Nothobranchius furzeri: one gene and its partners. The protein of the gene in region 3 purifies or fractionates together with the protein of the main gene of each other region. This does not show direct contact. Links are inferred from orthologs where the notes say so. Each region holds a gene or a part of one and is shown on either strand. Other genes may lie near its edges. The genes, in order: polr3glb, gpn3, polr3d, polr2l, polr1c, uri1 and polr3h.

The links.
Region 1: the proteins of polr3d (region 3) and polr3glb purify together in Homo sapiens (co-immunoprecipitation; 4 studies listed by BioGRID and IntAct, counting the BioPlex papers as one, with this or other methods). This does not show direct contact. The link is inferred for Nothobranchius furzeri from reciprocal best matches to the Homo sapiens genes POLR3D and POLR3GL.
Region 2: the proteins of polr3d (region 3) and gpn3 purify together in Homo sapiens (affinity purification with mass spectrometry; 3 studies listed by BioGRID and IntAct, counting the BioPlex papers as one, with this or other methods). This does not show direct contact. The link is inferred for Nothobranchius furzeri from reciprocal best matches to the Homo sapiens genes POLR3D and GPN3.
Region 4: the proteins of polr3d (region 3) and polr2l purify together in Homo sapiens (affinity purification with mass spectrometry; 3 studies listed by BioGRID and IntAct, counting the BioPlex papers as one, with this or other methods). This does not show direct contact. The link is inferred for Nothobranchius furzeri from reciprocal best matches to the Homo sapiens genes POLR3D and POLR2L.
Region 5: the proteins of polr3d (region 3) and polr1c purify together in Homo sapiens (affinity purification with mass spectrometry; 6 studies listed by BioGRID and IntAct, counting the BioPlex papers as one, with this or other methods). This does not show direct contact. The link is inferred for Nothobranchius furzeri from reciprocal best matches to the Homo sapiens genes POLR3D and POLR1C.
Region 6: the proteins of polr3d (region 3) and uri1 purify together in Homo sapiens (affinity purification with mass spectrometry; 3 studies listed by BioGRID and IntAct, with this or other methods). This does not show direct contact. The link is inferred for Nothobranchius furzeri from reciprocal best matches to the Homo sapiens genes POLR3D and URI1.
Region 7: the proteins of polr3d (region 3) and polr3h purify together in Homo sapiens (affinity purification with mass spectrometry; 6 studies listed by BioGRID and IntAct, counting the BioPlex papers as one, with this or other methods). This does not show direct contact. The link is inferred for Nothobranchius furzeri from reciprocal best matches to the Homo sapiens genes POLR3D and POLR3H.

Annotation. Positions count from the first base shown.
Region 1 is NC_091745.1:58,816,537-58,820,646, forward strand, and holds the start of polr3glb (DNA-directed RNA polymerase III subunit RPC7-like), read left to right. Parts: upstream 1-1,310; 5' UTR 1,311-1,500; coding exon 1,501-1,608; intron 1,609-1,747; coding exon 1,748-1,877; intron 1,878-1,960; coding exon 1,961-2,029; intron 2,030-2,113; coding exon 2,114-2,179; intron 2,180-2,252; coding exon 2,253-2,338; intron 2,339-2,479; coding exon 2,480-2,593; intron 2,594-4,110. UniProt on the Homo sapiens protein: DNA-dependent RNA polymerase catalyzes the transcription of DNA into RNA using the four ribonucleoside triphosphates as substrates. Specific peripheric component of RNA polymerase III which synthesizes small RNAs, such as 5S rRNA and tRNAs.
Region 2 is NC_091746.1:47,858,027-47,862,037, forward strand, and holds the start of gpn3 (GPN-loop GTPase 3), read left to right. Parts: upstream 1-1,211; 5' UTR 1,212-1,431; coding exon 1,432-1,479; intron 1,480-1,612; coding exon 1,613-1,721; intron 1,722-3,949; coding exon 3,950-4,011. UniProt on the Homo sapiens protein: Small GTPase required for proper localization of RNA polymerase II (RNAPII). May act at an RNAP assembly step prior to nuclear import.
Region 3 is NC_091757.1:39,754,434-39,758,675, reverse strand, and holds the start of polr3d (DNA-directed RNA polymerase III subunit RPC4), read right to left. Parts: upstream 2,801-4,242; 5' UTR 2,645-2,800; intron 1,671-2,644; 5' UTR 1,665-1,670; coding exon 1,506-1,664; intron 6-1,505; coding exon 1-5. UniProt on the Homo sapiens protein: DNA-dependent RNA polymerase catalyzes the transcription of DNA into RNA using the four ribonucleoside triphosphates as substrates.
Region 4 is NC_091749.1:62,790,861-62,793,886, reverse strand, and holds polr2l (DNA-directed RNA polymerases I, II, and III subunit RPABC5), read right to left. Parts: upstream 1,638-3,026; 5' UTR 1,499-1,637; intron 1,117-1,498; 5' UTR 1,107-1,116; coding exon 1,012-1,106; intron 743-1,011; coding exon 634-742; 3' UTR 501-633; downstream 1-500. UniProt on the Homo sapiens protein: DNA-dependent RNA polymerase catalyzes the transcription of DNA into RNA using the four ribonucleoside triphosphates as substrates.
Region 5 is NC_091752.1:59,366,707-59,370,206, reverse strand, and holds part of polr1c (DNA-directed RNA polymerases I and III subunit RPAC1), read right to left. Parts: intron 1,586-3,500; coding exon 1,436-1,585; coding exon of another isoform or gene 1,433-1,435; intron 1,313-1,432; coding exon 1,196-1,312; intron 1-1,195. UniProt on the Homo sapiens protein: DNA-dependent RNA polymerase catalyzes the transcription of DNA into RNA using the four ribonucleoside triphosphates as substrates.
Region 6 is NC_091744.1:78,624,188-78,628,155, reverse strand, and holds the start of uri1 (unconventional prefoldin RPB5 interactor 1), read left to right. Parts: upstream 1-1,168; 5' UTR 1,169-1,452; coding exon 1,453-1,524; intron 1,525-2,223; coding exon 2,224-2,258; intron 2,259-3,968. UniProt on the Homo sapiens protein: Involved in gene transcription regulation. Acts as a transcriptional repressor in concert with the corepressor UXT to regulate androgen receptor (AR) transcription.
Region 7 is NC_091752.1:65,981,226-65,984,725, reverse strand, and holds part of polr3h (DNA-directed RNA polymerase III subunit RPC8), read right to left. Parts: intron 1,308-3,500; coding exon 1,244-1,307; intron 1,134-1,243; coding exon 899-1,133; intron 1-898.

The DNA of each region.
Region 1 (4,110 bases), on a different chromosome or scaffold from region 3:
TATTACACTGTCACTAAGTTCACACTCTTAGTCAGATGAAAGTGAAACTGGATCTTGTTGATTTATTGAGACAGAATTCAAAAAGTGACTGTTATCAGATTTTATTTCGGTTTTTGAAAGAGATAAGGGTGTTTGGGAGACTTTGAGTCTTAACCCCCTGTTTGGTTTGGTTATGTGAGCGCTGTTCCAGACCACACTCCACACTAGTTGGTGGCGGTAATGCACCATTCATTGTTTGCCAACCACCAATAAAACACCAAAAGAAGAAGAAGAACTTAGACGGCGCGAAGCCGGATGTAAACAGACAGTTCGGTCTGGTCCAAAACAAGACGGAACCGTGGAGACGTGAATGTTCCTCAGGTTCTAACGAGATGAATTGTCGCTTTAGAGGCGAGACGACGCTTAGTGACCCCTAAAACGGAACGATCCCGGAAGAGCCGTCGCTGGACCGTGTCAGACAAAGCCAACCGGGTCACCGAGAGCTACTCGTCGTTTTGATGAACTGCGTGGGGGCGTGTATTCTCAGCCGGGTGAGATAATCTGGAGCAGAACCTATTGAAGGTCCAGTCTAGTTCAGGACCAGCCCAATGACCAGAACCCTGGCGTTCTGTATTGGTTCTGTTTGTATGGTATTATTGGACCTGGGGATTCTGGAGAGGTTAAAGGATCAATTATATAGAAAAGCTGTTATGAATCTTTGGTTTTCTCCGATAGGGGGCCATGTTGACCCAGACAACAGGAACAAGCTGGACACCAAGCTCTACCAGAACTATTGGTGGTCCGGAATGAAAGACGCTGGCTTCAAGTAGGAAGAGAATCCAACGGACGGAAGTCTGGACAAGGACTTTCTTTAGTAGGTTTCAGTTTAGCATCCTCCTCCTGCTCCAGACTTCCTGTCACACATCAGCTAACATCTCTTCGATCTCAGACGTGCATCCTCTCCATGATGCTCCACAACCTTCATCACATTTGGTCACTTGTCTCCACATCTCTGCTAACATTCAGCCTTCTTGTTCTGTCAGAATCCAGATTCAGCACCACGTCTGACCGGGCTGCAGAGGGTCTTCTTCATTGGATCTGGCAGGCTAGATGCTGATGGGTCAGCACCTATTCCCACTCACAGTCTGCCCTTACACCCCTACGACAGTCCGTCATCACCAACAAAGTCCTCAAACTGAAAACAGACACACCAAGGGCCCCCAAGAGAGGACCACTCTCTCCTGCATATCGCCAGCAATGCTGAAGAACATATCTCACACTCTCCAACTCTCCACAGTCACAGTTACCATCCGGGTGCTCCCCTAATAAAAAACAACCCACCCCGCAGACAACTGTGGCCCAGCGTTAACCGGGTCAAGACCAAAGGGTCCCTCCTCTCACAAGCGAGGGCCAGCCTATGACCACTCACCACCACTACAGGTCATAAAAATCCCTACCCACATCCGCCACAGAGGGTCCGTTCATGTTCTGGTTCTGGTCTGCTTTAGAGAGGCAATAGAGATGGCAGGTCGTGGGCGTGGCCACAGGATGATGAGTTTCAGTGTGGATGCAGTCGGCATCAGAGAATCTCTTCCTCCAACTATTCACCAGCCTACACCTGTGTTTCCAGTAAGCTCCACCCCACTACACCTGAACCCAGTCACACCTGGAGTTTAGGTCACGTGTGGCTTTATTTTGAGCAGACATTGTGTATTTATTTTTTTTGGCATCAAGTGCATTCTGGGATTTGCAGTTTAATGTTTTCCAGGTGATGGAGCAGAAGCCCCTGCCTCTAACAGGTGGAGAAGAGGCAGAGTATTTGTTGGCTCTGAAACAGGACTGCAGGGGAGCCATGAGGAGTCTTCCATGCTTTATCCAACCAGCAGTGGCACAAAGAGGTGAGACCAACAATCACCACTTAACTGCTTATCAGATGTAACTGCTCTCTTATTGTGAAGTTCTCCTCTGCACTTCCTGTCAGATGTGGAGCGATACTCAGATAAATATCACATCAGTGAACAGACTGACAGGCTGAAGGACTGGGTTGTAGGTGAGACCATGAATGCTAATATCTGTAACCACAGTAACCAAGAGAACCCAATGTGATGTGTTGATCAGGAGTAATGCTGATTAGTCGTTTCAGATTGGAAGAGATTCCCCAGAGAACTGCGAGTCCACGTCAGGAAAGCACCCGGTGATGGTCAGTAATCTGATTACTCTCAGTAATTTGAGCCAGGTTGTGTTAGCTGCTGGTAAAATGTGTTTTTGTTAAGGTGCGCTGCTCAGCTGCCGGGACAGCGGTCAGCAGATACAGAAGAAGAAGAAGAAGGTCAGAGAGGAGATCCTTCTGAAGCTGGAGGTGAGTTGGACTGGTCTGGGAAACAGGTCACAGGTAAAATAACGTATTCCAGATCTGTCAGACTCACCTGTGGAGCAGGTGTCTCAGCCACCTGCTGTCCTACCATACCGATGACGTGACCTGTGTGTGTCATACTTGCAGACGCTGGAGAAGAAGGAGGAGCAGGAGAGCTCTGAGGGGGAAGGAGAGATGGAGAAGAAGCAGGATGAGGGTGCTGAGGCTGAGGAGGATTACGATGAGGAAGAGTTTGAAGAGGTGAGGTGACACCCGGTGTGGGTGTGGCAGGGATTAAAGTTCTCCGTCGGGGTGACGGAAATCCGTCAGTTGGAATAGTCAGAAAAAAGTGCTGTCAAAATCCTCTCTCTCTCTCTCTCTCTCTCTCTCTCTCTCTCTCTCTCTCTCTCGCTCTCTCTCTCTCTCTCTCTCTCTCTCTCTCTCTCTCTCTCTCTCTCTCTCTCTCTCTGGAATGTGGTAACAAGCAAGTACGGGGGCGGTTGTGTCATCCGTCTCACTTTTGATTTGCCAGTGATAGACCGCGAGGGTAACTTTAACCGGTTTGCTGGCAGCAAGGTAAAAATAAACCTTTTCCGTGTTTTCAAGAAGAACCAACAATGCAGTTAGAAAAGCAACACAGCAAGAACATACCAAAGAGGAGCGTTTATAGACCCTTTTACTGTTTGTAAACAATATGACGTCAGCGAGAATGCTCGCGCAGCTTGGCAACAGAGAATGGCGTTGTGTCAGGCTTTATCAAGCTACGCTGCGGGGTTATCACCGGCAAATCTTGAATGTTATATTATTAAACTCACTTTAACGAATGGCAACAGACTCCCGGATCCCTGTGGCATTACGGAATGGGTGGAAGATGTAGGTGCGTGGCCAGATATCCAGTGGCCCGATATATATACGTTTTTAGTGGAGAGGCCCAGTAAGTACACACGTGAGAAGCTACGGGCATACAAATCGTTAGATGCATACAACTATGTTGTCTGTGGCCACGTACAGAAAGTAAAATATCACGACATAGACTCTGAGTTTTGCGTCTTGAAGGCAGAAGTCCTTCCTAGCCAAAGACAAGGACACAAGACTGCTATGTACGAGGCTTGGGTCATAGTAAACAAACGAGAGAACTACGTCTTCACAGCCAACTGTACCTGCATGGCAGGGTGAGTATAGCTTAGGTTTCTTTTTTTTTAGCGTGCTCAGAGTACAATCGTGTTAATTTTAGAGAAATACAGTTTATACTAATATGCAGTGGGAAAATACAGATGAATTAGAATGAAATGTTAATTAAAAAATAAATAGACTGCTTAAAAGCAAACCAGCAAGCGCAACTTACTTTATTTAATAGAACACACGTTAACCAGCTTTCTGGTGTAATCTTAGTACATAATTACCTTACCTGATATAAAATGGGCGCTACAAACTCGAGCATTTCGGATCGTGTTTTCAGTCCAGTTTTCATCAACCCTTTTGATGGCCTGCAGCCACAGACACCTCCGATTTTGTTGAAATGGATGTGCTCCCTTCGGAATTCTGTAAAGTTTCAGTCCACTACTTGGAGAGAAGCGATTCTGGCATCCATACACGCAACAACCCGACATTTTATGTGCTCAGAACTTCAAAACAAAGGGTTTAAAACACTGCTTTAGTATCGAGTGTGAATGAGGAAGCCTTCACTCTCGTTGCCAGGCTGCGCTCGCAACTTTTGATGACGTAGGTAGTAAAAGGGTCTATTGGGTACAGAATTCTGACCCGTTCTGGCTGAACAG
Region 2 (4,011 bases), on a different chromosome or scaffold from region 3:
GCACTTTAGTTAAAATTTAAAATTTCTGCCTAAAACTGTCAGTGTTCTGACGTTGTCGGGTAAAAACTGCACTGCATTTGAATTTAAATCTGCCATCGCTATTGGCTAATACGTACCCTAAAACATTAGCTGGTACCATATGATGACACAAACTTGTTGTGAGCCTGTGTGTGCATTTGTTAGTGGCTCCACCCTCTTGGTCTGCTAGGCAACAGCATTTGTTGCATTTTTTCAAACAGGATGTGGGAGTTGAGTAAGAATCTGGTAGGGAGTGACTTGCTCTTTAAAGCTAGATTTAAAACATAACTTGAATCAGCTGCTTTTAAAGTTGTGACCTTTTCCATTCATGTAAATAATTTATTAACTTTAAAAATTACATAACACATACTTACTTACGAAAGCTCCTTGGTCACGAAGATTAGCTAGACATTGCTGTTTAATTAAAAACGTCTAAGAAGAAAAATGATCAAATAACCCGTGATGCACTGCGGTGGGTTTGAAGCTAATAATGACTTGATCTAAGCTACTAAACACCTCTCGCTGTCTTCGACTTCCCTTTCTGCAATAAAACAAAGAGTGAACGCTGAAAAACGTAAAAATATGTTTCGTTTGATAGTGAAGGGCGGTGTTATCGTGAACACCGCTGCAGTAACAGCGAGTCTGTAAAGTTCACTTTCGAAAACTCCCAGATAGATAATGGCAAATGTTTGAATCATTAATCGAACTCTCGAAGCTAATATTTCTGACTAACTAACAAAATTGATTTAGCATGCGCAGCTACTTTAAAGCCAAACCATAACACACAAAGCAACCCAATAAAATAAACACTCGATGCTTTACTGTATACAAAACCATATTGGATACCTACCAACAAGATTTTCGCTTTCACGCGAAAGTTCTTCTACTAGCTTAACTTGTCAATCAACTCACTTTGTCTAAACATTTAGCCATTTTTATAATAAAGTTAAATGATGAAGACAAGTGACCAGGTCAAGTATTTCTGACTGTGTTGTTGCTGCAACACTTCATCGTGATGTAGTAGTTTGTGTCTTCCTCGTGTTCTCTAGCTACCTTCTACTTCCTTCTTTTTTCTGTCAATACCCTCTACCGCCATCTACTGTTAGCTAAAATGTATACAACAAAAATCTGCTGTTAAGGCTAATCAAATGAGCTAAATCATAATTATTCTTTACACATTGAAGAAATTGTTAGATGTTTAGGTCACGTTATAAGATAAATAAATACATTTGAATTTTTGTTCGCGGTTCAATGTGATAATTCACCAGCTAATCAAGAGGGGGCAGTAGTGAGGCAGGCAACCGGATGTTACGGAAAAGCAGAAGAAAAACTCTCAGGTCAACAGTTAGCTAACTGTGAGAAGCTACGTGAACTAAATTAACCAGGTCACAGGTGTGGTAAAGGTGGGATAAAATGCCTCGTTATGCCCAACTAGTGATGGGCCCGGCGGGCAGCGGTAAGGTAAGTCATCGCTGATCACGCTGGACGTCATAAATGCTTTCTTATGTTATAATGCGTTGCTAACATGTTGAGCTAAGGCAAGTGCTACACAAACTATAACTTCTGTCTTCGTTTTTTTGGTCTGATATTTCAGAGTACTTACTGCTCCACCTTGGTCCAGCATGCAGAGGCCTTAAACCGATCTGTTCAGGTGGTAAATCTGGATCCTGCTGCTGAGCATTTTGACTACCCTGTGATGGCAGGTAAAGACTTTTAAAGATCACATCAGAAAGGCTTAATAGGAAAACAGAAATTGTGTAAAATGAAGAAATTCAAATAGATTAGGTTAGGTTTCATTGTTACATGGTGATCACTTGTAGTTTCGGATAAAAAATATGGAAACACTTTGTGATTGTGATTTTGTGGATTGGTCTTTTTATTTAAATTCAGTTTAGTAAAACAATTACTTCTGATAGGATTACCGTAAATCCTCTAATACAGGCCGGTATTCAATTAAAGGCCGGGTCTCCAATTTTGGCCGGTGTCAGAGTCAGCGGAGGTAAATAATGGCCGGTCTCTTATTGTGGCCGGATGGCATGTGGTAACAAGCAAGTACGAGCGTCCCAGCGGCAGGGTTATAGTTCCCAAATCAACCAGCAGGAGGCAGTAGAGGTTCACGCAGACCTTTATTAGGCCTTTTCTTCAACGCTTTGTAACGCTACAGACACGATCCTCTATCACGCTCCTACCACACAGAGTCATGGTGTCAGTTAACCATGCTAATTCAACCCACTCCACAGAACACACATCACCTTCCCTGTGGCTTACATAACACTCACACAACACGCAAATCAGCACATAGGAACTAGCAGAACGATAGGAAACACATATAACACAATACCCAGAATGCACCTGGCTTACAACCCCAGCCAGGTCATTACACTATCAAGTTCAAAGAGAACGTGCTGATTATGCTGCAGAACACTCTGGAGAGCAGCAGTAGGGTGTGTATGAACTACAGTAATCCCTCGTTTATCGCGGTAGATGCGTTCCAGACCTGGCCGCGATAGGTGAAAATCCGCGAAGTAGGGACTCCCAGCATGCCCCTCGCGGGGATTCCCTTCACGTCGCACCTACGTCACAAACCGCGGCTATAAACGGAAGTTGCCTTTCCAGCTCACCACTCAGTCATCGTTTCTTCAGATTCACGATCAGAGTTTCCAACCTACCGATCAATCCAACGAACTATCAGCTCATAGTAAGTTATCTTACTTACTTCTGGAAAGCCCGGCATTTCCGTGTCACTTCGTTGACGCTCGAACGCTCGGGGGTTTCCTAGATCAGCCGGCGTTTCACCGACGCTCTCACTTCCGCGTCTGTGAAACCACGCTCCCTATTGAATTATCGTATGATCACATTCTCTTTTTGGGGGTAAAACTCAAGTGCCAGACCGTAGGTACTGACACGCGATCGTTCATGTCGGTTAATTTTTAATGTTTTCTGTCTTTTATTTGCGCCTGATGTGTATCGCTGCTGTGGAGCGGGGCGCATCAACTTGTCCTCCGACGCACAGATCACAGCAGGGAGCGCTCAGCTGTTTTCGCGGTCGGTAGATCTGCCTCCTGAGCACGGCCACAGTAACAATCAGGTGTCGCCACCTCAAAAACTAATTTAACACGCGATCGTTCATGTCAGTTCATTTCCTTTAATTTTTTCTGTCTTTTATTTGCGCCTGATGTGTTTCGCTGCACGCTGTGGAGCGGGACGCTGCGCGCATCACCTTGTCCTCCGACGCACTGATCACTGATACAGCCGCCAAACAGCAAGCGCTCCGCTGTTTTTGCGGTCGGTAGATCTTTTAGAACTGCAGTTCAAAGGTAACTCATGAGGTGAATATGAACCCAGGCAGCAGTTTTTCTTTAGGATTGAGAGGAGATGCAGGAAGATAATAAACAGACAGGACAGAAAAATAGTCAAATAAAAACAAGTTAGTTTTTGTACCTGCTGTTGCAACAAACAGACACCATTGAAGGTCATCAGAAGTGAGGAACAGAAAATGAAATAATTATTTTAATGTTTAGAGCAGCAGGAACTCCGAGAGGCTGCAGGCGCATCAGTGAGTTTGCGGCCGCTGCGCAGGGGGAGGGGGGAGAGGGCTGAAGCAGGGGGAGGGGGGAGAGGGCTGAAGCAGGAACTACCGTTGTTAAAAGAAATGTGTTTAACTTTGAAAATGTGGGCGCACTTTTAATTGTCAAAAACTCCAGCGAACCATAGTTCATTTTGCTCAAATAGAAATAGAGGCCTGCCTCTAATACTGGCCCTCCTTCCAATAAAGGCCTGGAGCTTGATGAGCTTGAGTCAAATACAGGCCCGGGCCTGTATTAGAGGATTTACGGTAACTCACAAGTACAAGTAACATCAGGAGGATTTTTTAAATTAATTACTTTCTCCGTGAAGCACACTATATTTGATTGCAGTCCTGCTTTGTCAGACATCCGTGAGCTCATCCAGGTCGATGATGTGATGGAGGATGACTCTCTGAAATTTGGCCCT
Region 3 (4,242 bases):
GTTTTCTAAAAGTGGAAGAAAACAAAAACGTGTTAGGTTTTAGACAGTGTACAATAAAATCAGCTTCTGTTGCATCTTTAGTCATCACTTGTCCCTAGAAGCCACGAGTTTTTAACAAATGATTGGTTTTTTGTCTTGTCATTTTCGTATAGATTAATCTCAGTGATATAAATAAATAAATAAAAGACATAAATACTAAATTGAATGAACATTTTCCCCTTGATGCAAGTTGTTTGTTTTTAATAAACAGTTCAAACCCATAGAGTAAACAACCCGGTGTGTGAGCAAATGTCAAAGATGGAAGCAGCTCCCTTTTGGTAAACAGCTTGAGTAAACACTAAGCCAGTGTTGGGATCATAACTGATCCACAGCGTATTAATCGTCCTACGAGTATCAGGTAAGCTTTCTTTGTTCACATTATATTAGAAATAAAGAATTTTAAAGAGCATCATTATTTCTGATTATTATGGGTCACTGAATTTTTCATGCAGGCTGATCATGAAAAAGTCTTCTACACGATAGAAAATAGACAGTAAAACTCTAGGGTGTGAAAAGCCTGACAGATCTACGTCACACTGTCGCTTCACATTCATGGAGCTAGCCCCTATGTCCCAAGCCGTTGAGAACCTGCAGCTCCTGCCTGTGGACATGGAGAGCACGCTAAAGAGGATCAACCCCAACAAGGCCTCAGGACCAGGCAGGATCTCTGGTCATCTGCAGTCAGCTGGCGGGAGTTCTCTGCTTCCTGTTTAACTGCTCGCTAGCTGAGCACTCCATCCCCTCCATCTGGAAGTCCTCTATCATCTGCCCCGTGGCAAAGCAGAACAACCCAGGCATCAACAGCGACTTTGGACCTGTAGCTCTGACATCACTGATTGTGAAGACCTTTGAGAGGCTCGTAATGGCCCAGCTGCTGGTTGATGTGGGTGCATGTTTGGACCCAATGCAGTTTGCATACCAACCACACAGAGGGGTGGATGATGCTCTACTAACTATGCTGCATGAGACCCTCACCCACCTGGAACAGCCAAAGTCACATATCAACCTGGTCTTTGTGGATTTCTCTAGTGCATTCAACACAGTCCAGCCACATCTTATGGGATGTAAACTGCTGAACCTGAATGTTAACTCCCATCTCATCCTCTGGGTCCTCTCCTTTCTCACGAGGAGGGAGCAGAGGGTCAGGGTTAACGGCCATCACAGTACTGTCAGGTCACTCTCCACTGGTTCCCCACAAGGTTCAGTCATCTCTCCACTTCTGCTCATTTTATACACCAATGACTGCAGGAGCACAACCCCAGGAATCACTGTTATCCAATCTGAGGATAAATGTCCAAGTATCAGGAACTAAGACTCCAAAACCTGCTGTCTGAAGCGCAGCTGTGATGTGGGTAACTTCAGTTCCTGGTAATGGTGCACCAGTGTATTGTTTCCCCCTGACTTTCGACTTCCTACTATAAACCACTACAAATAACTATACTTTAATAAAAGACCTGGTGCAGTACCTTTTTTACTCCCCCCAGTGTGAGGTCTCTTGACCTCATGGAAGGGAGGCGACCTGGAGAGATTCCCGATGGTGGTCGGCGGCCCATCAGCAGTCCAACGTTACTGCTGCCTCCAGGAGTCGCCATTCGCTGATTACTGGTGTCACTTGAGTCAGCCATTTTGAACTAAATAAAGTAGGAGATACAAATCAACCTTTTTCACTTGGAATTATTTCTACTGGTATCTGTAGTCATCGTGGACACAACAAAGACTCTTTTTGTAGAAAATATCTAAAAATCACAGATATTTTTGTCTGCATTGGCACCTATTTCTAACGACATTCTGATGGATTTTGTAGCATTTAAAAGCAACATATGAATGCAGGTATTACATCTGGATGCACATCTACATCCACACTGGACTGTTGATGCTTTGCATCTGAGATCTACACATCCTTATCGTAAAAATATCTAATTACTATGTGCAGCCCTAAAATATTGTGTACTTTATATTATAATATTAAACATTGGGTTCAGACTGAAAACCAGTTCTCTCTTTTCTGGATTACAATGGGGATTATGCTAATTAAATGCATCTGTTTACATTCCTCTGTTGGTTTTACTGTTGATCTTATTGACGCTGTTTTAATCACGTTGCTTATATAGATGTTTTTTTAGCCATGGCCTGTGGCTTTTGTCTTTCAGCACCCCATCATTGGAAGCTGATGTGATATGAAGACATGCTAACGAATAGTGAAGGATTGATTTAACTTTATTGTTTAGCTGGGAACAAAAATTGTTTGCATTTATAAAAGTGGCACACAAGTACTTTCAACTTGTCGTTTTAGGCCTGTTTAGCTAAATATTTGGACACTACTAATGAAGGAGTTAACTAGTGCAGTGAAGTCATTTCAGCTGGGTCTCCAAATGACTTAACTTTCTTCACTTGCAGTCAGACTACTGGTTACCACTGAAAACTTTCCTACGGTTAAACTGGTTTTCGTTTCTCTTAATCTACCGTCCCACTACGAAAAAAATACTTAATTCCAGCTAGAAATGAACAAACCGCCAGCACGTGGACATAATGATACAGCACTAGTTCGCTAACCTTCATCATTAGAGAAGAAAAAGTGATATTTAAGCTTTTTCCAGATCCTTACCTGATTTCTTCTTCCGGGGTCTTTATTCTATGTTTATTCACGGTCTGCGAGTCATAATAAATGAACCTTAGCTAGTTGTGTTTCTGTTTCTGAGCCAGCTAGTTGTGTTTCTGTTTCTGAGCCACTGTGCTGCACGACGCCATGACACCTCTGCGTTGTTGTTCCGTTCGGAACGCGCATGCGCAGAATGAGGCGCATGGCCGCAGGCTGCAACGCGGGCGGGGCAACGCGTCTGGGTCACAGTAAAGGAAAGAATGAAAGGAGAAAGGACAGGCAGAAGAGAGAGCGTCAGTATGTCGCACAGTTATTCTCAAAGGAAGGTGGGTTTAGTTAGTGATTGGTTAAATTCAACCTGTTAGCTAGCTTTGATATCCACAATGAGAGGAACTATGTTTCATCTAATTATGGTAAATGGGTTGCTGTCCTTGTCCTTATAGAATCAGCAGCTGGTGATATGTCAGCAGGTGACTCCTCACAACCCAATGAACCTCACGAAGGTGAATGTAGCATGTTAGTTAGCAGCCTCATTTAAGGGGGTCTGTGGGAATCACTTAAGGCTCTCTTCTCTATCAGTACTATTACGAAGGAATATAAAAAGGCTATTTTTGGTGATAAACACATTGTTTTTCCACATAATGATAATTATATATATCAATCAGTAAAAATGTATAGATTGTTGTTGATGCTGGGCAGGTTGAAGCATTGTTATTTAGTCTGTTAATGTAACATAAATTACTGTGAGATTATTAATGTGAAGCACCTTTTTGAAGGCACCATACAAGAAAAAAAAACTCTTCATCTACTAAATACCTTGAAATGAAATGTTTTGAATCTGACTGAATTATGGGAGGTTTTACAAGATATAATTTGTTTATGTAGCTTTGAGAACACAAACCAAAAATCAGTCATTTCCAAATAAATCATCAGAGAACAAAAATGAAACAAAAGCTATTAATAATTGTAATAAATAAACGTAATATAACATTGAACACAATAAAATGACATCTAGTATTGATCGTTATCGAGCATTATTAATTATATCACTGTAAATAATAAATCTTGCTGTGTACAATCAAGGCTGAATATATTTTTAGCAGTTTTTTTGTTGAGAAAAATGGGTGTCTAGAGACTTATATAGGTTGTACCGTTATGAATCTTATAATGGTCTGCCTTAACAGCTGCCCCTTCACACAGTAACATCACCAAGGTCGGACGCTTGGTTCAGTATGTTTACATTCCAGGAGAAGAGACAGAAGAAGAGAAGAAGAACGCTTTTCATTGATTAATCAAAGTACTTTATTTGTGATAAGCTAATCAAAGCACTTTGTGTCTGAAATGCTTTTCAGCTCTCCTGCATGAAGTCCTGGTGAAACAGGAAATAATCCTTCAGCAGCAGCGCGGCCTCACCAAAATGGTGCAGGACCTTTTGTTGCTGTTGCTGCTCTTCAGGGCCTGACCACAGGGGGAAGTGTGGAGACCAGGCACCATGGCATCTACCCCTTGGCAGATGTTCAGGCCCTGATGGCCCTGGAGAGGTGAGCTTTTTTCTGTTCTTTACAACAAAGTTTTGGACAATGCATTTTGGCATGCACATCCAA
Region 4 (3,026 bases), on a different chromosome or scaffold from region 3:
ACTTTGTTCTGGTTTTGTTCCCTTTTCTCCCCAGACTGAAGAATCCTGCCGGGGAAAGATGAGCATTTTCTTGCACCAAGGTTGATAAATGTCAAAACTCTTTGAAGCTGAGACATTGGATGTTTGAAAGTATGAAACCTACTTTTTATCAGTTATATTCACCATGTCTGATTTGTTTTAAGAAAAAGTTGTGTAGATTCATTCTTGTATTATAGAATTTCAACATGCATGTAGTGAACACCTGTTAATAACTTGTTTTCATTCTTTTTTTTGTATAAATTCTACAAATAAAAAAAAATCCTCCAGTGTTTTGTTATAACTAACTACACAAAGCTGTAAAATTATGTCACATTGACAGGAAATAGACATTTAATCATTCATCAATTTTTCCAATCTCATGAAATGAACTATGCGATTAAAACCATTAATTTCCAAAGCTAAGATCTGAAGAGCTAGTCGTTGCCAACCACATAAAATGTAGACGCATGGACGAAAGAAAGCAAGGTTATTCATTTTATTTTAAAAAATCCAGTAATTGAAAAATGTTTCCATAAATTCTTCTCTGTGGTCGTAATTTAAGGTTACATAGTACACACATTCACCCTGATAATGGTGCTACAAAGTCCACAACATTCATTTTTCCAACGGAGCATAATTCAGCAATTTCTCAATAAGATCCACATGAGAAAGAAGCATCCTTCGACAGCAGTACCTCTTCAAGCCAAGAGCGTCAAGAGCATCACTAGGGAGGGAGATGGCAAAAATCAGTCCTGATATGTTACATAAACACGTTTTAATCACTGCTGAAAACCATAAGGAAAGGTGAAAGGCATTGTGGTTTAAAAACAAATCTAAACCCAATCTTCTTTTTAAATGTTATTTAGCTTGCCTGCATTGTGACCAAATGTTGAAATGTTCTACCTTTGTAGAAAAGCTACTCAAACACGTGCCAGAACAATTTCGGACGTAAAAAGATCATGAAACGTGAAGCTAGACGTGGTTGTTTCTCACCCCTCTGTGTATTCCGCTTGCAACAGACCGAGGTACGCTTCCCATTTGTTCCCCACAATCTTCCCACAAGTGAAGCACCTCACAGGGATTATCATCGTTAAATACCTGCAACAAAAGTCAACCCGGTTAATGTTTGAAAACAATGTAAAACAATCACAGTTGAGTCGTTTAACTTAAATTACATTTACGTTTCCGCATACCACCGCAGTAAGACCACCATGTGAGCATGTTTTGCTAACGTTAATGCAGCAAAACCTAGCACTGCAACGATTAAAGCAAACACGTATTTAGTTTTTTTTTTCAGATGGATTAATCAATAGTCCAAAAACGAATTACTTAAAAAAGACGGTTGAAATCAAATCTTATGGTTAGTGCTGTATTCCGCTACGTAACTAGCCCACCAGCTAGCGTTAGCTGCTGTTGAAATTATTCCGCTAAACGAACTTACACACGTCATTAGTTTATCACGTTTTACCATATGTTTCACCTTTTGAGGCTGTAGATCAGATGAATGTACTATTTTCTTGGTAAAAGTAACTCCAGCACGATAATGATGGCGTTCTCTCACTCCTTATGTCGTTAAAACAACTTCCGGGTAAAATCCGCCAAAATAAAAGCGGAATAAGAGGTGAGCGTTTCCTGTGATTTGCAAAATTGACCCCCCCCCCCCCCCAAAAAAAAAAAAACGAAAATGGGGAAACTGACACGGAAAACGTGTGAGCGTCTTCGTCTATTTGGTTTTAATAAATGTGGTGCAAAAGTGAAATAACAATTCATTAGAATCACAATATTGCTACTGAATAATGACCACAGCTCACTTCATAAACGAGCGTATAAAAATGGCAGTACTCCCCATCAAACTTAGCTAACATGTCAAGTCACTCACCTCACAATGTATTTTTCCTTTTACAAAACAAACAACTTTGAAGCAAAAGTATTAATATCCATGTAACCACAGATAAAGGAGTTTAAAAACTCTAACATTTTCCTTGATATAACTAATAAATGCAATTGCAATTCAATATACCATCTTGACAGAATGTTAAGGAAAAGAGCTAAATTAGTTGATTAAAACTAATGTTTTTGAAGGTGGTACCATGCAAAAATAAAATCTTCATCCAATGCAGATAGTTACACAAATTAATATTAACATGAATCCACAAAAGAAATGCTCACTATAGGACTGGTTCACTGCCTTTAATAAGATTGAATTTCAGATTTGTCATATTTTACATTTAAATGATTGGACTCATAGAGGAGGGTGCATAAAGAAAATATTTAAAATATAAAACATACATATTATTTCCACCATAGTCATCTTTACAGTCAGCATGATAAATGTCATTATCATTACCATCAGTAACATTATACAGTAATACATCATCTATGTAATTTCATTTGCTACAGCACATATGCTAAATGAGGAATCCTACCTGAATTATTGCATTTATACGCTGTTGAAATTATGAAAATAGGAGTTTTCATATTCTTTTGTTTTTTAAGAGTACACTGTATTGTACAATGTAAGGTGAAATTTATTTTTGTGTTGACTTACTACTTTTTGAACATGTCAGAGGAGCTGTCTAGTGATGGTGATATGCTCTTATGAGTTTTTTAGGGGGTATAAAATATGGTGAAGCTATACATTCTGGTTGTCAAAACTACCTTTCTACCAAACAGAGACAACCGGATGAGTTTTACAGTTGCAAGCTGAAAGGCTAGTGAGCCACTGTACAGGTGTGTTTGTGCAGTAACAAATTCTTTTCCCCCTTTCAGTGAAGTATGAGTACTACTTTTATGCTATTATAAATGCTTTCATTACATATTTTTGGTGGGTGACTTTGAAAACACACAGAGTGGCATAAAAATTGACTCAATTCTAGTGGCTGACTGGCTGTGGGCTTTCAAACCCATATAGAGGTTAGAATAAACACGCAAACCAACTTCTTCTTTTGTCCCAGAACGTGTCATATTTCAGTGTTTAATAATGTTTTGGTTTATTTTAAACCCAATGA
Region 5 (3,500 bases), on a different chromosome or scaffold from region 3:
ACCCCATAGATTTTCTATGGGGTTAAGGTCAGGCGAGTTTGCTGGCCAATCAAGGACAGGGATACCATGGTCCTTGAACCAGGTGCTGGTGGTTTTGGCACTGTGTGCAGGTGCCAAGTCCTGTTGAAAGGTGAAGTCTGCATCCCCATAAAGTTGGTCAGCAGCAGGAAGCATGAAGTGCTCTAAAACTTCCTGGTAGACGGCTGCATTGACCCTGGACCTCAGGAAACAGAGTGGGCCAACACCGGCAGATGACATGGCACCCCACACCATCACTGACGGTGGAAACTTTACACTGGACCTCATGCAACGTGGATTCTGTGCTTCTCCGCTCTTCCTCCAGACTCTGGGTCCTTGATTTCCAAAGGAAATGCAGAACTTGCTTTCATCAGAAAACATAACTTTGGACCACTCAGCATCAGTCCAGTCCTTTTTGTCCTTGGCCCAGACGAGACGCTTCTTGCGCTGTTTCATGTTCAAGAGTGGCTTGACACACGGAATGCGACACCTGAATCCCATGTCTTTCATGAGTCTCCTCGTGGTGGTTCTTGAAGCGCTGACTCCAGCTGCAGTCCACTCTTTGTGGATCTCCCCCACATTTTTGAATGGGTTTGTCGTCACAATTCTCTGCAGGGTGCGGTTATCCCTAGAGCTTGTACACTTTTTTCTACCACATTTTTTCCGTCCCTTCGCCTGTCTGTTAATGTGCTTGGACACAGAGCTCTGCGAACAGCCAGCTTCTTTAGCAATCACCTTTTGTGTCTTGCCCTTCTTGTGCAAGGTGTCAATGATTGTCTTTTGGACAGCTGTTAAGTCAGAAGTCTTCCCCATGATTGTGGTGCCTTCAAAACAAGACTGAGGGACCTTTTAAAGGCCTTTGCAGGTGTTTTGAGTAAATCAGCTGATTAGAGTGGCAGCAGGTGTCTTCTATATTCAGCCTTTTCAGAATATTCTAATTTTTTGAGATACCAAATTTGGAGTTTTCATTAGTTGTCACTTATGAATATCAAATTTAAATGTAATGAACATTGGAAATACATTGGTCTGTGTGCATTGCATGAATATAATGTACAAGTTTCACGTTTTGAATGGAATTACTGAAATATTTTCAACCTTTTGATGATATTCTAATTTACTGGCCAGCACCTGTATGTCTGTGCTTAGATGTAATTTCTAGGAGTTTATCCTAACTCACATATGAAATGATCTCGAACCCTTCCCAGCTTCACCAAATTCTTTAGATCCACATGTCGGAGAACTTCTCGGCTGCATGTATCTAGTCGACTGTTCACCACTTTGGCCACTTTTTTACCTGAGGAAACAAAGGATAGTGATGTAGTATTTACAGGTAAACACTGGTGTGGGGAATTCATGCGGCATGACAAAGCCAATTCTTTAAAAACACTTGACTCTAGCTCTATTGGGTAATTCTTACCGCGAACATCTTCCAGGTCTATAACACCTCGTGAGAAGCAGTGTTTCAGGAGCTCCGCCTTTTCTCCCTCCACCACTTCCAATAATGTGATCTCTGGCAGGAGGCGGTAACTTGCTGTTGCCACTGGAGAGAACTTAGCATGGTCCCTGCCTGAGCACAAAATGAAGCACATACAGGTTTGATACAGAAATCTACCTCTAAAATATGTTTTACTGCCAACACAACATCAAGCAGCAGCCTTTCTTAGGAGGAGGGGTGGATACGCAGCACTGACCCACGTATGATGACGGCCCATTCTTCACCCAGGGCAAACAATATCTCACTTTAGTCAGAAGTCACTCTTGACGAAAACATCACACACATCATGAAAATTCCAAACCTATTTCCAAAGGACTTGAGAGGACTCATTACATGCGTCTAATTATCTGTCTTGTTCATCACCAGTGGTGCCAGAGCTTCTAGAGAAGCTTACTAAAACAATTGGGTTCCCTGCCCTTCAGGCTTGGAACCCTAACAAGACCTCAAAGCAGTTATGAATGGGCTCCAAAGCATCCAGCGTGCGTCTCCTACCCGGCCCCGCCCCTGAGTCCGCCATTTCTAACCTGGGTCCTCCCTGCCTGCATGCTCTCGCACCTTTGTTCTTTCAGCTAATAATGTCATTTCAACCTGCATTATTAAATAAACATGCAGAAAAAAAAGTTTTTTTTTCTTCAGAGATCTCCATTTGTCGACAAAATAAGGAAAAAAGTTGTATTAATGGGTACACCATCGCCACTTAACTGGCAAAGCTATCAAAAAATTCCCAAAGCCAAGAGGATCCAATTTTGGTCATGTCTACTCTTGTTCTTCATCTAAAAACTTTAACGTTGCATAGATTGCAAAGTCTTAGTGTAAAGAGAACAATAAACAATAATAAATTATAAAAACATTTTGACATTTGTGTGCACTCTACAGGTTATTAACAAAAGTTAATATACATGGCTTAAATATCATTCTTTGAGAATCCAAAATCTCATTTTTTCTTGAAAAATGGTGGCAATATAACGATTGCTAGCTTGCACAAAGAATTAGGCATTGTGTCAATTGCACAATTACCAACATTTTTGCAGTTTTCTTCATTACAATAACACTGGTTTGTCCATAAATCGTTTATATCACTTTTAAAGTTAATTCTGCAAAAATTGATGGAATAGACCCTTTAACATTTTGTTTCAATTCAGTCTTTTTCAGGGTTATCGCTGACAAAGCTTGAAAATTATATTAGTAAACTCATTTTAACGAATGGCAACAGACTCCTGGATCCCTGTGGTGTTATATAATGGGTGGAAGATGTAGCTGCGTGCGTGGCCAGATACCCAGTGGCTCAATATATCAATCATTCAACAAAATTTTATTTGTACAGCACCTTCCACTGCCTTTATGGAAGCCCAAGGTTCTGAACATGACATAAAAATAATAAAAGAGCAGAGAACAATAAAACATGCATGCAAAAATTACTAAAATGATAAAACAGAGACGATAAAAGACTAATTACATTATTTCATGCTATTTCAGCTATCAACTTTATTTTTTCCCTAAGTGTTTTTCTCCCCAGAAGAAGCTACAATGGTGTTCTGCTTTGCCGTGGTGGCCTCATGGAGGGGGCCATCGGCTTTAACACTGTTGCTAACCACTTTAACATATTTCCCTCTCCTGAAAACTTTTTAATTTCTTTGACATGGAATGTGCTACTACTAGTTTACCTGCTGACTCAATTATAGATTCACTCAGATAAAGACAATAAAGTTTATCCCTTACTAAATAGAATATTTACTAAGAAATCACAATGTAGTCATCAGTCCTCGTCAGGTGACGTATCAGGTGCTGAAGCACGTTGCATGATGGGATACCTAGGTGCATAAGCAAAGGAAGCACTGGTCGCTTTGTGTGTTGTGAGCTTATTAAACTGCAGAAAATGGTAGTCGTGTTGTGTGAAGGGCTGCCATGCATAAAAAGGCATAAAGTTAAATGTGGGCTGGGATCGCGTTATCCAGATATTTTCTGTTTTTGGCCATTTATTTCAACG
Region 6 (3,968 bases), on a different chromosome or scaffold from region 3:
TTCTCATGATTAGAGGACTAGGACAGTTGGGGTCAGTTTCATTTCTAAAATTGTAAATAAGATTAAAATACATCTGCATGCAAATCCCTTCCCTGACCAAGGTCAATGGGGCTGAAACCTGTTTTTATTTGACTAGCCATGAAACAATAAAGTATTTCTACCATCTTCATTTTCCTGATGGCCTCAGACCTCTTTTTTCTTAAGCTATACCTGTATGCCTCAATAAAAGAACACCTGAGGTATTCACAATCTTTTTACATCCCATAAGCACACCATACATTTTTGCTGTTATTGTAGATGCTGCTTTTATAACCAGACACATTCATGAATGAATGTGTATTCTGATTGTACATTTCCATTTTAAATGTGTACACTTAATAAAAATGAAATAAAAACATAAATACAATAACAAGGTATTTTAATAAAATAAAATTATATATATGTGTGTGTGTGTGTGTGTGTGTGTGTGTGTGTGTGTGTGTGTGTGTGTGTGTGTGTGTGTGTGTGTGTGTGTGTGTGTGTTGAAGAATTTTCTGGTGTGAGACATTCATCTCAAAGTTTAGTGAGTAGTTTTATTTTTTCAAAGCTGTAAAGCTGGTAAAACTGCAAGTAGGAAGGGTGAGGTTCCCATTTTCCCATAAAAACACTAGCTGGTTTAAACTTTTCTAGTTTTATAGTGAGACGATGAGCTTATTGAATGTTTTGTGGTTTAAATGTAGCCCATCATATAAAAAATGAATTAAATATATCTGTATAAGAACAAACTCCATGGAATTATATTATATTATATTATATTATATTATATTATATTATATTATATTATATTATATTATATTATATTATTCCAACAGACCGCTTCTTGAGTGAGTCGTGGCAGATGGCTGCTGATACTGAGCCAGGATCCTCTGGAGGTGTCTTTCCACTGTTTTCTTCTCCACTGTCGCTGCATGCTTGCTTAGTATGAGGAATGATGTACGATGCAATTTGCTGGGTTCCTTATATAGGAAACTTTTTTCTGATTGGCTTAATGAATTGGAATGTTTATGATGTGAAGTGCCTTGAGACGACTCTTGTCGCTATTTAAATAAACTTGAATTGAAGTGTTTTATTTTGGAAATATTAACCGGAAGTCTGCCTGAAACTTCTTCCGTGTTGCTGTAGAGTGCATGGCGCAGCGAAAGTGACGAGGAGAATCTGCTAATCTTTGGGATACCGAAACCGTGGATTTATTTGGGAATAATGCAGAAATTCTGAAGTGAGTGTGTGAGATGAAATCACCTCCGAGAGTGTGGACAACCATCACTGCCCCTTTGATGAATACGTGCAGAACGGGTCTCAGGAATAGCGTCTGCTGGATTCATAAACACTTCTTTAGGACTCACAACAACCCCTGAGCTTTGTTTTTGTGGGTCACAAAACGCACAGATTGACCGTTTTGCATGTGAATTGACGATGACTGAAGGTGGGAAAATGAATTTGGAGCGTCTCGGTGGAGTTGCGAGGCTCCGACAGGAACACGAGAAGGTAAGTTTTGGTGTTTAGGTGGTGGGCAGAACCCGCGAGGCCAGCCGAGCCACGCGGTTGGATCATTTGGGAGTGTTTAAACCACGAGTGGGTCAGCTGAAGAGCTTATTTCTTCTGCGCACAGACGCCTCTGCACGACACTGGTTACGTCACATGTCTCATCTGTGTTTTTAGGTTACCTTTAGCTTCCTTCTAGAAGTTTCTTACGTTCAAATTTAAGCCTGGAGGTGTGTTTGGCTAATTTTGTTTACTTGCACACAAGTTTCACTTGTGTGGAAGTTTTAAGATTTTGCTTTGATTCATTTAGATTATTGTCTAATGCAAATCGGGAAGTCCTATGCCCCCTATAACAACTCAAAAGGTCACCGGAAGTTATTAGAGCTTGACTAAAACTAAAGTTCAGACGTGAGCCAGCTGTTTTGTTGAAGAGAAAGCAAAAGCTTAGCCTTTTATTTTGTTTTTGACAGTTTTTTTTGGGGGGGGGGGGGGGGGAGCATTTGTATTATTTAATAATACAATACTAATAATTATATACATTTAATTTCCCTTTGCCAACACAACTTTATTAACCTATTTATTACAATTGAGGGCGTTTATGAATTGAAAATTCCCAGTAGGAATAAATATATGTATTATCCTGACATCAGATTGTGTTGACCTGAATTTGTAAACAAACTAAAATGATCTGTCCTAAAACAGGTGGTGAAAGACTGTGAAAGTCGGATTCAGCACTGGTAAGCATCCAAAACTCACAAGAATGTCTCTAGAAAAGGTTTGGAATGGTTTTCTACTTTATTCTAATGTAATCCTGAACTATATTACACTGTGATTAAAGTATTTTTTGAAAATGTAATCTGAAAAGGTGTTTTTTCCCTTAACTTTGACACTTAATAGATTTGTGATTTTTTAACTTGTTTTTTGTTCTACCAATTAGATCACCATACACTTTGTTTAGAACAACCATATGACACCCTGATGGCCCAGTTTACTCATGAGATCACTAAACACTTAGAATTTAACAACTGAATGACATCTTGCTGGGCCAGTTTACCCATCAGATCACCATACACTTTTAAAAAACGTATGACACCCAGACTTGTATATTTTTTAAAGCTCTATTGTAGGAATGCAATGATACCACTTTTTTCCAAACCGATACGATACCGATACTTGGATCTGAGTACTCGCCGATGCCGATTACCAATACCGATACTTCTACCACACGAAAAAATGCAATGATTTGGAATACAGATTGTATTTTCTTCTCTGCTTTCAACAGGAGACGACTGTGAGGTAGATAAAAAGTAAAATATATGAATGGAAATCATCACAAAACTAAAATATTAGGTGAACAGAAATGACAAGTTACAGGGAAGCCATTTTCAAGCAACTGCATTGGTATCGGTTCCTGGTATCAGTTAACTTTTACCGATACGATACTGGTACTGGTATCGATACCAGTATCATATCTGTGCATCCCTACTTTATTGTCTAATTTTATTTTTATTTTTTTTAGAGATAAAAGGTGGTAAAATAAAAATAAAAAATTGTGATACACATTTATCAGTCTGTTGGTGTGGATGGTAAAACATGAACACAACTGGAAATAAACTGCAAAACACCAGTGAATGTGCAGCCACTCAGTTATCATTAAAAATATAAATGACTCACTTTTTCTCATACTTTGCTGTCTGTATGCTGAACTGACGGCTGCTAAAGTTAAAGTCAAGTTAAAGTCCCATTAGTTGTCACACACACTGATGTGACCCATCCCCTGGGGGAGCAGTGAGCTGCAGACACAGCTGCGCTCGGGAACCATTTGGTGGTTGAAACCCCCAATCCAACTCCTTAATGCTGAGTGTCAAGCAGGGAGGCATTGGGTCCCATTTTTTTCTAAGTCTTTGGTATGACCCGACCAGGAATCGAACCCTGATCTCCCAGTCTCAGGGTGGACATTCTACCACTAGGCCACTGAGCTGGCTCAGAATGCAGAGGAGGTTTAGATGATCGTGCATAAACTGCATTCATGCTGCTCTGATATGTATGGTGTTCTGTCCGAACACCAGTCCCCAGTACTCCTTAAAGTCCACCAGTTGGTTTTAAGGTTTGGTGTGAATCAGGTTTTAGTTAAAGTTAGTTAGGAATAGATCTGCATTGGTTATCATTACTGTGCAGGTATGGGTTAGGCGTAATGCAGTCACAAAAATGAATGGAAGTCAATGGAAGCCCTCACGAACAAAGAAAGACAAACATGCATTTGTGCTTCTACTGGGGACAACAGCTCTCCAAAATAACTTGAGAAGGATGCTGAGAAGTGATTGAATCCTGGACTTAATGAAAGGACCAGAAGAGTGTGTGTGTGTGTGTGTGTGTGTGTGTGTGTGTGTGTGTGTGTGTGTGTGTGTGTGTGTGTGCACGTCAAGACAGTAGAGCTCTTTACTCAA
Region 7 (3,500 bases), on a different chromosome or scaffold from region 3:
TTTGAAAATTTAAGACCTCTGGAAAATGTATTTAAGTATTATTTGTAATTTTTAAGGCCTTAAATTTGGAAAAGCTAATTTAAGACCTGCGGATACCCTGGACGAGTATGGCAGAAAGCCCCGTTGACTTACATCGGTAGCGGCGAGTGCGTCATGTTGTTTGATATCCAATAGCATGCAGAGACAGTCTGGAAGAAAACCGTAGACCCAGGCCCACTACTGAGAGCCGTCAACGGGCCGTGTCCAGACTATATATTCACCTATAGAGGATGGCTTCCCAGGCTAGGGTTTCTCATAACCAGATGTTTAACCTATTCACTGCCAATGACGAGTAAATTCGTCATTTGCATGTTTTTACTGTGTGGGCATCGGACGAGCCCCCACACCGTGAGAACAAACACCTCAGCTCTAAAGCGGATCTTCATCCGTATACGTCACACGTCACGTGATCAGGAAGCAGAACATCCATGTGTTAGATCGTTTTGGGCCGCTGCTGTAAAAAAAAAAGTGAGGCGCGAACCGGAAAAGCTTCTGCCGATCACAATTCAACAACAGATAATGAAAGAACGGATAACGCTCGAAACGCGCGGATTCTTCCTGATGTAAGAGGTGAGTCTCCGCTTTGTTTTGGTTGTTTTGGCGTCAACGTCATCCTAGCGCGCAACGTTCTGTGGCTTAAAAAAAACTGTAAAAACGGTGAGAAACGCTGGCAGCGAATGAGTTAAAGCTCCCATTTACTTAAAAGACAAATAAAATATCAAAATCTAATTCAGTCAAAATACTGAAAACATGAACTGAGCACCAGAAAGAGTTTACAAATACCCTGAAATGGTGACTGCTCCCACAGTTTAATCATCTTTACGAGAGCTGATTTTTAATTTGTCTGTATGATTCTTACAATCAGAGTGTACGGTGCCTCCTTCTTCCCCTCGCTGGCCTCTGCTGGCGGCGCCGTTGCCTGCCCCGCTTGTGCCGGCGCGTCAGACGCAGCTACAGCAGGGCCTGTTGGTGACGTGTCCACGAAGACTTGATCCGCCACCCGGAAGCGGATCTCCTCCCCTTGGTCCATGTAGAGGTCGTGCCCTCCCTCATCCGTCTCGTACTCCCAGACCCAGACCTGCTCCGCTTCATCACTGGAGTTACGGCTAAGGAAGGCTCAACCAACCCCAGATCCATAAGACTCCAGTCACACACTCAGCAAATGCAGTAAAAACAAAACCACTGTGCTTCTAACTCTGGATACAACTTTGCAGGCTGCTGGAGAGACTCAGGAGGGATGAGAATATCATCAAAGAAGCCCATGGTCACTGTGAAGCAGCAGAGTGAGAAGCTCCTGTTGAAATCTGGTACACAGCTGTTAAAGCGTTTACTGTTAAAGGATATTTTGTCATTCTTGCATCAGACATGAAAGAAACAGCGTACCTGGAAAGCAGAGGATAACAGTAAAATAACATATAATTGCAGCAATGACTAAAATTCCATATATATAAGGGATGTGTATTGGTGAAATTTTGGCAATACGACAAGTATCACGATATAGGGGAGACAATACAACATATCACGATACATTGCCATACAATACGATATCAGCAATTTTTTTAGACAGAATTTTTTGTAGGAATATTGAATAAACAGTCCAAACTAGGGCTGGGCGATGCGACCTAAAATCAGTGTCACAATATATTGAGAATTTCACCTCGATAACGATAAATTGGCGATAACTACAGGTATGCGCAGAAACAAAAGTTGTCCACTAGATGGGGCTGTCACACGTATTACTTGAGTCACATTTTTACGTGACTCAAGGTGGTACAGCTTCTTAAAGGGATGTGAACGTTACCAACCTACACATCTTTTCATTTCTTTATTATCGAATTTATTGACACGGGAAAAATGATCACGATAAGAGTCAGAAATTTTGATAATGATAAATTTTCGATTTATTGCCCAGCCCTAGTCCAAACTGATACTTAACATTTTTAATGCGAGGTATCTGAACCATAACAGAGGGATTTATATTTCAGTGGTGGAAACAAAACACATTGCACACTGCTGCCAACTAGCGGTCTGCGTTTAAATTGCACCAAAAGAAAAGAAAATACACAAATATTTGCATGTAAATTCTTCCAAAAATTTGATACATGGATTTTGAATATTAATATAAAATCACAGGATAAAATATCACAAAATATTACCATATCGATATTTTCGATATACATCTTTTGAATATCAATACAATATCACGATATATTGCCATATCGATATTTTCTTACATCCTTTAATGTGTGTATATATATATATATATATATATATGTATATATATATATATATATATATATATATATATATATATATATATATACACTATATATATATATATTTTTTTAATTTGTATGATAAATGATAAAATCATCTAGGTGTAGAAATTCCATCATGGCTATTTTTCAAGTGCTTCCATAATTTTCTTTTTTATATTCCTGCAAATGTGTTCATATTAAACACACACATCTATGTTAAAGTATCACAATATTAAAGGTGGAATATTTTGCAAAACTCACATTTTGCATCTTTTTTTTTTTTTTTTTGCTGCCATGTGGGTCTCTACTAGGGATGTCCCGATCCGATCACATGATCGGAAATCGGCCCCGATCACGTGGTTTCAGACTGATCAGGACTCGGGCTTTACTTCCCGATCCAAGCCCCGATCCGGAGTTGGATACTGGCTTCAAATTACAGGAGAGCAACTTGGTTCTCCTTAATGGTTGTCAGGCTCACCTGATGCCCTTAACTCACACACCCAGAAGGAGCACAAAAGAGATCCAGTTTGTACCTATATTATATTATTTACATGGACTCAGAGTAGCGGGGATTCTTTTGGGGCAGAGATGCAGAGCGGCAGGCAGACCGCTGATTATTTATGGACTCCAGGTGTGTTCTGCACACGGCCACAGTAACATTTTCTAAGTTTCTAAAGGGCCTCACCAAAAAATATATAATTAACACACAGTCGTTTGTGTCCGTTCATTTTCTCTCTGGTAAGTTCTGTCTGTATTTGAGCATGATGTGTGGACGCGCTCGCGCCGCAGCGCTCGTCACTGGCGCAGCCGTGCAGCGCGGCGCTCACTCCGCTTTTTTTGTGGTCAATAGATCAATTTGATCTGCTAGTTAAAAAGTTACTTGTGAGGTGAAAAAGAAGGAAGCAGGGAGGAGTTTGTCTGGAGGACTGGATCCACCCCTCACATGCAAGAAATAGTTGCTGCTGAAGGAGCAGCGGCTCTCACCCTGGATTCTCATGTCAGTTCTCTTGTTCGCTCTTTCTTCGTCCATCTCAGGAACATTGCTAAGCTGAGTCCCATTCTGTCCCGCTCTGAACTTGAGACAGTTCTCCACACCTTCATCTCCTCACGCTTAGACTACTGTAACTCTCTTTTCACGTGTCTGAGCAGAACCTCCCTGAACCGTCTACAGGTGGTTCAGAATGCCTGTGCTCGGCTTCTGAC